Linked DNA regions of Lonchura striata. The protein of the gene in region 2 purifies or fractionates together with the protein of the main gene of each other region. This does not show direct contact. Links are inferred from orthologs where the notes say so. Each region holds a gene or a part of one and is shown on either strand. Other genes may lie near its edges.

Region 1 (3,746 bases), on a different chromosome or scaffold from region 2:
AGCTAGTAAGGGGATTTTTCTGGGAAATGGAAATTCTGGAGTGCAGTTGGGAAGAAAGGTGCAGGTAGCAAATTCAGTGGAATGCACCTGGCACTGTGGGTTGGCTGGGGAAGTGGCAGAGGACACTTGTTTGGGACAGTCAGTCAGGAAAACAGCAGGGTGGTCTCTTGCTTGAGGCCTTGCAGAGGTTTGCTTCTTATTCATGTTAATTCCAAGATACTGGGATCTGGGTGATTTGGTTTTTTCCTGTGTTCTTTGCAATGAGGGCCTATAAACACCACTTACCTGATTACTATTTATTCTCATTTTCATCTTGGACTTCCTATCTTGTTTCTTATAAACCATTCAATTTTCTTTTTGCATTTTTCATATTGTCTAGATATGCAAAGACAGAAACTGCAGAAGAAATCCTGAATAACAGACTGGACAGTGTCAGTTGAACTTGGTGGTTGTGTAAGTTTGTTTTCCAGAGGATGATTACAGCTCTCTCAGGGTCTGGCATTTAACTTTTAAGTTCATCTATCAAATTCTGAAAATGAAAATGGGAGAGTTTTGAGAGATAAGCAGCTACTGACAGGCATTCAAATGATGTTACCTGTGGCAAGCACATTTCTCTCCCTCTCAGGATTTTTCATAGAGGTGCACAGAGAGAAATGAAAGAGAAAACAATTTCTATTTCTGCTCCTTGTTTTTCCTATGTGGAATGTGTTTGGAGAATTGTTTACCTGGAGTGAGTGCTTGATTGGATTCTGGTGAGATTGTTTGAGCCTGATGGCCAATCCAATCCATCTGTGTCCGGACTCTCGCGAGAGGGTCACAAGTTGTGGGAGAGTTAGAGTCAGAGAAAGTAGAATGTAGTTTTAGTATTCTCCTTTTATATAGTATATTAATGTATTTTAGCATAGTGATAATAAAGAAATAATTCAGCCTTCTGAATTGAGTCAGACATTGTCATTTCTTCCCATTGTGTTCGTCTGCATTTACAGTAGTTACCTGCTGGCAGCTTGGTTCCACAGGTTTTTAATGGTGATGGGATGGACTTTTTGTGCCAAATCACAGAATCAGTCAGGTTGGAAAGGACCATAGTGGATCATCTGGTACAACCTCCCTGCTTAAGCAGCGTTGTACTTGAGCACTTTACACAGAATTGTGTCCGAACAGTTTTTGAATATCTCCAGTATGGGAGACTCCACAACATCCCTGGGCAATGTGTTCTAGGCGCGTGGTCACTTGCACAGTAAAGAAGTTCTTCCTCATGTTCAGGTGGAACTTGCTGCGCATCGGTTCCTGCCTCTTGTCCTGTTGCTCGGTGCCACCAAGAAGAGCCTGGCTCCATCCTCTTGCCACCCTCCCTTGACGTGCTCATGTTGAGTGGCGCCATCTCCCCTCAGCCGCCTCTCCCGGGCTACGCCGGCCTGCAGCGGCCGCGGCCTCCGCTGCTCCTCCCGCCCGCCGGGGGGCGCGCGCGGCCGGGCGCGCGGGCCGCTCCCCTTCCGCGCGGGCGGGCGCATGGCGGGCCGCGGCGGCGCGGCGGCGGCCCGGGAGCTGCTGGACGTGCGGCCCCGGCCAGGTGAGTGAGTGAGCCCGGCCCCGGCCAGGTGAGTGAGTGAGTCCGGCCCCGGCACGGCGAGTGAGCCCGGCCCCGGCCAGGTGAGTGAGTGAGTCCGGCCCCGGCCAGGTGAGTGAGCCCGGCCCCGGCACGGCGAGCCCGGCGCCGCCTGCAGCCAGCGGGAGCTCGGCTCGGCCACGCTGCTCGTGGTGCCGCCCGTGCCCCGCTGGTGATCGCGTCCCGCGTGTACTGAAGAGCTACCCTCCGGGGAGGGGTAATGCGGAGTAGATAAGCGGGGAAATCCGCGCTGAGCTATGGGCAGTCGTAAGGACGCTTCTATGTGACCGGAGAGAAAAGTTAAATAGAGCGGTGCGCTTTGGTGAATGATGCCGGGCGGATGGCTCCGCCGGCCGTCATAAGGATAATTAATGGGTCATTAATGCCGAATTCCTGGCATCGTTTGGGTTTCCCGGCTGCCCACAGTTAGTGGAGGTCGCTGGCACCGGGATTTAATCGGTGCGACTGGCGCGCCTCAGCTCCCACCTCACCGAGCCTCGCAGAGGGGGATTAGAGGTTGTTTTTCATGCGTTTTAACTTTAGCTTAATTAAACTGTCTCAAAAACAGCTTAAGGAACTTCAGCTTAAACTGGAGTGTGTGAGAGGTGGCCTGCAGGGTGAGAACCTGTGCAGCCCAGTTTTCTTCCAAGAGCAGCAAAAGCAGATGGTAATTACGGAAAACTTGTCAGCTTAAACAGTTCAATACTCGTTTGTTTGTTTGCAGGGCTGGAAGACATTTTGCTGATTAATTCAAAATGTAGCAGCAAGAATGCCACAACTTTACAGACTATTAAGGTGCCAAGGAGCAATGGTAAGTAAGGAGGAGTTGTCGCTGGAAGTGGTCAAGTAGTAGGTAACATTTGTGACACAGCTTTTGCTTTGGTGCTTTCCTTTAAAAGGTAAAGAGAGAAGCTTTTGGGTTCAGTTTCTAGAGATAGTAGGTTCTCCTCCCATTACAGTTCCATGTCCCACTGGTGAGTCACGTAAATGCTGCTGCTGCTGCAAAATTAGATTTTGCAATGCTAGGCATTACAGCTCTTGAGTTTTAGGGACAGATGGTTCTTTCCCAGTATGGAGTTGTAGCTTGGGCTTCTTATCTCTTTTAGAAGTAATTTCTCAGTATGATGTATTTGTTGTATAAAAGCATTTAATTTAAAAAGGACTCCTGTCAAATTATTTTTTTTATGTTTTGTGATTGAGCTGAAATTTTAAAAGATTGTTCGATCAAATTCTTTATTGGATAAAAATCTCTACAAAGATGACAGTGTTTCAAAGATAGCTTATACTTGTTAGGCTTTGTGGTGCTCACCTGAAACAGTACCTCTTCTTAAAGAAAGAAAACTAGTGCTTGACTCATCTCCATGTGTGGAGCAGTTTATTTGAAGAAATTCTGGAGGTGAAAATACTGTCTTTCTCCATGGAAGGGTTATGAGTGTGAATCTCCTAATTCCATTGATTACCTTAAAATTCTTGTGAAGTCCTACTGAGCTGTAGAGGATGAGTGCTTTATACTTCAGCCTGGAGTTTCCATCTTTCTCCCACTGTCTTAATTTCAGAACTTCTTTTGTTAACTATGTTGACCTTTCATTGGTCTATTACGGCATCTGCTACGGCAAATTTTTCCATCTTCTTTGAGACCTTCAGTCTATACTTAATTATTGCAGATAGTCAGAAATTACAGTTGAAACAGAATCAGCTATAAAGGCTCATATCTGAGGTATAAATGTGAACACTAATGAACATCTCTTTGACTTACATTTATATTTATATATAAATATATCTGTGATAATTGTTTCTTTTCAGTTTTGGACCGAGTGCAGAGCTTTTTACCACAGATGGCCCAGGCAAATGATGAGCTCAAAAGAAAAATGGTAACAGCACCTGCTCATGAGTTTGATATTGAACATCTAGACAGTGAAACAGAAAAAGTTATAGAAATGGTAAATGTTTTTTTTTATTATTTTAATGTAAATATAGATGGGATTAAAATAACTCTCTGATCTTAGAATGAGTAATATGATAGATAAAGTGAAGTCTTGACCATTTTCTTTACCAAGTCTTTGATGTTCTAATTCAAAACACAGATATAACTAAACATGCTTATTTGGTTGAAATTTGCATCCTGGTTTTCATACTTGCA
Region 2 (3,746 bases):
TTTTTACACCCATAAATATATTCAATAAAGGCTGTGTTAGGAAAATGTGACATGGAATTCAACAGAAAGGAATAAAAGAAGTTCCATCTTTCATTAACACTAATATTTGTTTAGAAGAGTCTCTCTATTGACATTCAGGAAATGCAGAGAACTAACAATGTAGCTGGCTGTTAAACCTCTGCTATCTCTAGCACTGACAACATGGATGGCCTAAGTTCCACCTGCTGGTTCAGGTTTCTAAACCTCTGACAGGGAACTTCATCACATCAAGGAAATTTTGCAGACTACTGAGGCTTCCCTCCCCCAGGCCCTGCCAGTTTCATGGTAACCAGAAGACCAGAGACTACTGAAAGTTGCTTCCTTATAAAAGTCAATGGAATACTTTTGTTTCACTGAAGAACTGAGAGACTTCTTCACCCTGCTGCTGCCAGATGAAGCCAAATAGGAAACATGGTACTGAAACAGGAAAATTTCTGTTAATACATTCAGGACTAAAATCAACGGGGTTCTCTTTAGCCAATCCTCACACAAACCAGGGCTACTTCTCTCTGCATTTGTCAGCTGTCAGCAGCAGCTGTGTAAAGAGATTTTAGATAGTCACTGAGATTGCGTTGCAAATTAAACCAATTTACATCAAACTTGTAAATGTAGCATAGAACTGAGGAAGACATTAAGTTACAATGTTTATTCAGTTGGCATGGAACTTTCTCTGTGCTCACTGGAATAGTAAGTCAGGCTAATGCTGCTGTTTGTGAGCCCCTGATTAAAAGTGTTAATTTACCAGGGTGGAATCACTAGAACAAAAAATAGGAAGAGTATTTTTCTGTCTACAAGTATTTCTGCTAATGTAAGAAATTAAAAATTGCTTTTTCTTTCAGCTTTATTCAGTCATAGGCAAAATGGAGAGGTGAATCTGACAGATAAAAGAATTTGATGAAGTATAAACCAAAATACAAAAATTAAATTACACTTTGTACACACAAAACCTGACTCCACTAAGTGTGAAAGATTCACTAAATTAGAATCAGTACTGAAAAAAGTAAGTATATGAAAACCTGAAAATGGCTTGACCATTGAAAAGTTTTTCCTTTTCAGATGACTGGGAAAAAGCAAAGTATCATGCAAACACTTCATTCTTCTTTTCCTGAAACTTACCAATTGCACGTCGGAAATTTTCCATGAGAACTTCTGTTTTCTTGATCTCAGTGGAATAGACCTCACTTCCAACCATAGGACAAAAAGGAACTTTGCTTCCCAGTTCCTGAGCAATAGCTAAAGCCAAAGCAGTCTTTAAAAGGAAAAAAGAAATACAAAACCCAGACATTAATTTTGAAGAGAATTAAGAAATTATTATTTTTGCACAAAGTTAACTTTCCTCATTGTATCACCTTCTATATATCACCTACCAATTTATGGCTATTCTGTCTGACATATATTTCTCACATACAAAAACCCTCCTCAAACACAGTTGACCTTGGCCAAAGGCTTTAAAAAACCCTGAAGACATCATACTGGCTGCTTGAATTTGACACCTGCTACAGATGCAAAAAGCCTAAATAGCATGGAGGAAAAAAAGTAAACCAAGCAAAAACCTTTCTGGCTTTTAATAAAAAAGTAACTTCTAAAACTTTTTCAGAGCTCTTGCTACTGATGTGTTTAGTAACCTACAAGAGGTGGTTTCACATTAAAGATGCTGAACACAACAACGGGTACTCCCAGTGTCGATGATACCACAAAAGCAAAAATATCAAGTAGAAAACTACATGAGTACATTGATTGAAAAAAAATCTGGCATATGAAAACACTTTGTAACCACTACCCTAAAACGGTTTTGACAAATTAAAACAGATTTGGAAATACTTTATTTTGTAACAAAACAGAAAAGTAATACCTTGCCAGTTCCTGGAGGTCCTGCCAACAGCACTGCTCTGCCAGCCATTTTTTTGCTTTTGATTAGCTCCACTATAACCCCACATGCCTGTAAGTTAAATAGGCATTTATACCGTTAACACAAGTATTGCTATAGTATCTTCTGTTCCAACATTACCTAAAGTATTTAGAAATAACAGGTTTTACAAAAAATAAAGATTTCAGTGTCATGCACACAAAAAGAAAGTTCGGGAAACATACTTTCTACAATCATTTTATCTGACACACATTAAAAACCACAGAAAACGAAACTCAATCTGTGAGCCCCGACTGCTTTTCCCTCTCGCTGTCCCACGCACAGACAAAGGTTTGAAAGTAAAGCAAGAAATTAATCTTCGCTGCCTGAGCCACAAATCCCCTACAGAGCTTCTTTCAGGGCCAGGCTGGATGAGGTTCTGAACAACTTGGTCCGGTGGGATGAGTCTCTGCCCACGGCAGGGGGCTGGAACGAGACATCATCTTTACGGTCCCTTCCAATCCAAACCAATCTGTGATTCTATGATGGCTTTATCCGGCCCGCACAGGAGCGGATGCTCCAATCCCTACGTGCATCAAACCCGCAGACTTGTGCTCGGTTTCGTTGCCTGTAACACCCCAGTGAGCACGCCGGCACCCGGGAGACCGTCCCCGTCGCTACGCGAAGCAGGAGCAGAGCCAGCACAGCGCGGCCGCCCCCCGGCGCCTCAGAGCGCAGCAGCCGCACAGAACCCGGGCACGGCTCCCACCCGCGGTCGGGCACCGTCAGCCGCCCCTGCCCGGCCCGGCCCCGCGCTCACCTCCCGCGCATTCTCCTGCCCCACCAGCCCGGCCCCCGCCGGCTTGGCGGCGCCGCTCTCGTCCAGCCCCAGCCCCTTGACATGGCTGTGGGCGGCGATGCGCTGGGTTTTGGAGGTGCTCTTCACCTCCTCGATCTTCATGGCGGGGCAGGGCAGCGGCAGCTCCGGCCCGGCCGCCCCGCGCTGCTCGCACGCGGCCCGCGCCTCACCGCGGCTCCGGCGCGCCCCGCCCCCGGCCCGCCATTGGCCCGCGCCGCGGCGCTCCCGCCGCTCATTGGACGCCCAGCCTGCCCGTCAGCCCCGGGGCTCGGGGTTTTAGGGTCCGCCCGCCCGTTTCCGCGTGCGGCGCGCACCGGCGGTCCGGGCGGGCGCGGGCGCTGCGGAGGAGTAGGGCCGGGAAGGAGGGAGGTGGCGGGGTGGCTGTCCCTGGAGGCGCTCAGGGAATCGCCGGACGTGGCACTCGCTGCCAGGGTCTGGTTAAAAGGTGGTGACCCGTCATAGGCTGGATTCTGATCTTGGGCGTTTCTTCCAGCCTAAGTGGTTCTGAGATTCTCTGCATCGACAAGGGCGGTTTTGGGGAGCGGCGAGCGGAGCTCTCCGCAGGGGGAGCCAGCTCGTTCTTGCTCGCAGGTTTTTTGGCCCTGCCGCACTTCAGCTCTTTCTTTCTTTCTTTCTTTCGTTCTACAATCCGATTTGGCGCTGGAGCCAGCGTTTGTCCTGCTGCCGGGGCTGCGGGAGCGCTGGGTGTCCCTGGCTCGCTGTCTTGTCCCTTGCCCGCCCACAGCCGCTGACAGTGCGCCAGGAGCCCTGAGCCTTCACAAAACCTCTGCTGGCTTTAGCTCACAAAAATAAATTAAGACTTTCCAAGGGTGTTCTCTAAAACTTTTTCAAAGATTCACAGAATCGTTAAGGTTGGAAGGGACCACTTGAGACCACCTAGTCCAGCTCCCCTGCCAAGGAAGGTGGGGATGGTCTCTTACCTGCTCGGTGTCGCTCATTAGTTTCTAGTGTCCAGTGAAACTGTGGAATAATTCTATTCTG
Region 3 (3,746 bases), on a different chromosome or scaffold from region 2:
AAGCTCTCGTTTGCACACTAATAGATTGCTAACACAATAAAGAAGTTAGCAGAAAACCTGCAGCCACAGTTTCAAGTTATACCACAATTCTACATAAATGGATTTCTAGTAACGTTTTTCATTCCATTTATACTGCAATACATCAATCTTATCTGTCACACAAAAGTGCTGCACACCTCTGGTGTTACAATTGATTTCTTTACACTTCTGCAGCTCTTCCAGTGTCAGGTTCCCAAAGAACTCTCTAAAGCAAGCACCCTGCCTTCCACAAGGGGAAAGATACATGAAGGAACTTGCCCAGTGGGAAGAAAAATAAATCCAGACTTTCCAGTTCCCAAAGCAGCTTCCTACGATTCTACTGTAGTTGTTATTAAGCCAGGATATATCTCAAATATTCAACACTTTAAGGAAAATGTGGATTTTTTTCCAAGCCAATACAAGAAAGTAAGATGAGGTTTGTAAGCAGAATTTCAATGGGAATGTTTCTATTCAGACATCCACTGAGCCATCAAACAGCCACTGCAAATTCATCCACACTCCAAAAGCTGTGGTTCAACACAAGGAAACTATGAAATTCAAGAAAATAATATTCATAAGGTCTTATTACAGAAAGGCATCACTTGTCTATGGCATGTCTACCTCTTCTACTCTGACTTTCAAGATCTGCCTTCAAATGCTGAGCATTTTAAACTTTGTTTTCATCCACTTCAGCTGCCTTACAGGACCACTTACAGAAACAAAGACAGAAAAATTAAAACTTCTCTATTATAAATATTGTTCTGTGTCATTTAATACTACTTGTAAAGCTGAATGAAGCAAGATTTTTGATGGCACTTTATTAAGTGTAACTTAATATAAAAGATATCCAAACATCTTTTTTCTCTTTATTCTAGGCAGTAAAATTTCTTTTTTTAATTTTTGGCTTCTTTTCAGTAAGTGAAAAACAATAGCATATTGTAAATACTTTCTAATACAACTCATACAAACTATTTCAAAATGAGGGTTTTTTAGACATTTTCCAGAAGCTGTCCAAGTATTTTAAAACTGTCATTTCTGTAGCTACATTTTAGCACTTGTCACCTACAAGCCATTGTCAGACTTATCCAGGACTAATGTTTGCAGAGTTAGCAAAAAGACTTATCATAATGCACAATTGGTTTTACTCACTGGTGCTTCAGACATAAGGACAGGATGCAAACTTGCTTCAGATTTAATATGCATCTTGTAAGTGTGATCCAAAATTGCCTGGAAACTATCCCAGTCTTCAACTATAACAACATTGAGACAAACAGGTTAGTTACTCCTAAGTTTTGTTTCATTTCATAAACACAAAGGCTTTCCAATTTAGTTTTTTGCATAGAGTTCTTCAGTCAAAAGCTGTCCTCAGCAGATACACATCTCCTTTAACAGATCTGCAGAATTCTCTTCCTCCACAACCACCACAACTTCAACAATTATGCTGAAAGCCCACTAACACTGAAAACCAACCACATCTCCCTGCAATTTGTAAACCAGGAATCTGTTCCTATGGCCTCTGTTGCTGTACATAACAGCTGCCAACACAACTATAACTTCCTAGCAATGCTATTTTAAAATCAGGTAGAAAAAGACAAGAGCACCATACTCATTCCATTTTTTAAAGGTGAAATGGCTTCCATATTCTCCCTTGGAACTCTCAAGGCATTAGTGTCTATGTAGTAAGTTGGGCCCCCTTGTTTGCCTTTGTCACCATCTATCTCCATCAGAGTGCTGCCATTGTCCCTTTCTAGCACCACACCAATGGCTGTTGGAAAATCCACCTGCAAGGCAAGAGGCAAGCAGTACATAAGGACTAGTAATGTTTTGGAAATTGTTGTTTTTCTCACAAATTCCGAAGTTTCTTTATACAATACAGTCAGAACAAGCCCCAGTGTGTTCAGAAGGGCTGTAACTCACAAAGAAGACCTAAGGCATAAATTCATGTTCAATTTCCATCGAGGCACAGATTCTCTCACCTTCGGGCAGTCCTCGCCTGCATAGCCTGCTCTCACTGTGTACGAGCCAATGTCAAAAACCAGTGCCCCGACTTCATCTGAAAAGATTGTTAAGAAAGAATGGTTATGCTCTTCTGCAACCCTGACCTTTCCCTGCCCACCACCTGCTTTACTGGCAAACAAGACAAGCAAATCAAGAGATCTTTTACAAAGCAAGGACAAACTTTTCTATTCAGAGCTCCCGCGACCAGAGAGCTATTGGAAAACTGCAGACAGGCTTTAACTGGTGCATTGCAATCCCTGTTTGGTGTTAGAAGAAAATTTTAGTACAAGAGAGAGAACGTAGTAGCAGCTTAACGGATGGCAAGATAAAGCTTTCAGAAAGTTCTAATTTAGCAGTCACACGAAGCCAGGTGAGCCCAGAGCCCCTGTGGGTGATGAGGATGAGGAAGGTGGTGCAAACATCAACTGTGTGAGGGAAGGGCTCAGGGCATAAGCGCCCATTCCTACGGGCCCGATCGCCGCTGATCTACGCACATCCTACAGGAAAGCTGTCGGAAACGAGCGGTGGCCACGGGGGGTGCGCAGAGGGGCTCGGGGAACCACACCCGGCTCCCAGAGAGCGGGGACCTTCCCCGGCCCTCGGCAGAGCGGGTCCTGCCCAAGGCCGCGCCGGGGAGGCAGCCCGGGGGCGCCGAGGAACCAACAAGGCCCGCCGCCGCCGCCGCCTGCCCGTCACGCGTGGGGCGCGGAGCGGCCGCGGCAGCGCCGGGCCGGGCTGAGGGAGGCGGGAAGCGCCCGCCGCGGCCGCACGCGCCGCCTCGCGGGGCGGGGGAGGGGAGGGCGGCGCCGGACTCACCTCCCCCGTACACGCCGCCGCTCATGGCTGCCGCTGGGCCCGGCCCCGCCGTCCGCCGTGCCCGCGCCGCCCGGCCCCGCTCCCCGCCTGCCCCGGTGTCCGCGGGGCCCGCGCTCCCCGCCCGCTCCTCTCGCCGCCGACCCAGCAACAAAAGCGCCCCGGCCACGCTCCCCGCCCGCGGCCCGGCCCGACCCGCAGCGCCGTCGCCCGCCCGCCAATAGCAGCGCCGCGCGGGCAGAACCGGCCAATCCCGGGCGGCGGGGGGCGGGACCTTGCCGCGGACAACCAATCCTGGAGCCGGACGCGAAGGGCGGGCAGGCGAGGGAGTGCGGGCGGGGGGCGGTGTGAGGGGAGCGGCGGGCGGGGATGGGCAGAGGGCAGGGGCGGGCGGGGCGAGCGGAGCGGGGCAGGTGCGCTGGGGACCGTGCGGGCAGTCACGGGACGCTTCGGGCAGGAGGGGACCGCGCTGGATCCTCTGGTCGCACTTGCCGGCGCCGGCAGGGTCGTCCCCGAGCACGTGGCACAGGATTGCGCCCAGAGAGTTCTGGGGTATCTCCAGTAAGGGCGACTCCTCATCTCCTATGGGCAGTCATTTCTAGTGAGCGGTCATTGCACAGCAAAGTTTTCTCACGTTCTGGTGGAACTTCCTCTACACCAGTTTCTGCCCCTTGTCTCTTGTTCTGCTGCTCAGCACCACCTGAGAAGGGCCTGATCCATCCTCTGACACCTCCCTGGTGACTTTGAGGTCACCTTCCGAGGCTGGAGAGGCTCTGCTTGCTCAGCTTCTCACGAAACACTGCAGTCCCTTCATCGTCCTCGGCTGGAGCAGCTCCTCCTCTTGTACTGAGGAGCCCAGAGCTGGACATGGGGAAGGCTGCCGGCTTGGCTGGACTCGGGAGAGGAGGCTTGTGAAT

The links.
Region 1: the proteins of RUVBL1 (region 2) and NOPCHAP1 purify together in Homo sapiens (affinity purification with mass spectrometry; 4 studies listed by BioGRID and IntAct, counting the BioPlex papers as one, with this or other methods). This does not show direct contact. The link is inferred for Lonchura striata from reciprocal best matches to the Homo sapiens genes RUVBL1 and NOPCHAP1.
Region 3: the proteins of RUVBL1 (region 2) and ACTL6A purify together in Homo sapiens (affinity purification with mass spectrometry; 10 studies listed by BioGRID and IntAct, counting the BioPlex papers as one, with this or other methods). This does not show direct contact. The link is inferred for Lonchura striata from reciprocal best matches to the Homo sapiens genes RUVBL1 and ACTL6A.

What each region holds. Positions count from the first base shown.
Region 1 is NC_134607.1:20,280,097-20,283,842, forward strand, and holds the start of NOPCHAP1 (NOP protein chaperone 1), read left to right. Parts: upstream 1-1,486; 5' UTR 1,487-1,509; coding exon 1,510-1,570; intron 1,571-2,330; coding exon 2,331-2,417; intron 2,418-3,409; coding exon 3,410-3,546; intron 3,547-3,746. UniProt on the Homo sapiens protein: Client-loading PAQosome/R2TP complex cofactor that selects NOP58 to promote box C/D small nucleolar ribonucleoprotein (snoRNP) assembly. Acts as a bridge between NOP58 and the R2TP complex via RUVBL1:RUVBL2.
Region 2 is NC_134614.1:13,220,713-13,224,458, reverse strand, and holds the start of RUVBL1 (ruvB-like 1), read right to left. Parts: upstream 2,920-3,746; 5' UTR 2,847-2,919; coding exon 2,706-2,846; intron 1,979-2,705; coding exon 1,892-1,978; intron 1,289-1,891; coding exon 1,156-1,288; intron 1-1,155. UniProt on the Homo sapiens protein: Possesses single-stranded DNA-stimulated ATPase and ATP-dependent DNA helicase (3' to 5') activity; hexamerization is thought to be critical for ATP hydrolysis and adjacent subunits in the ring-like structure contribute to the ATPase activity.
Region 3 is NC_134612.1:20,306,162-20,309,907, forward strand, and holds the start of ACTL6A (actin-like protein 6A), read right to left. Parts: upstream 2,897-3,746; 5' UTR 2,858-2,896; coding exon 2,833-2,857; intron 2,072-2,832; coding exon 1,995-2,071; intron 1,800-1,994; coding exon 1,625-1,799; intron 1,269-1,624; coding exon 1,168-1,268; intron 1-1,167.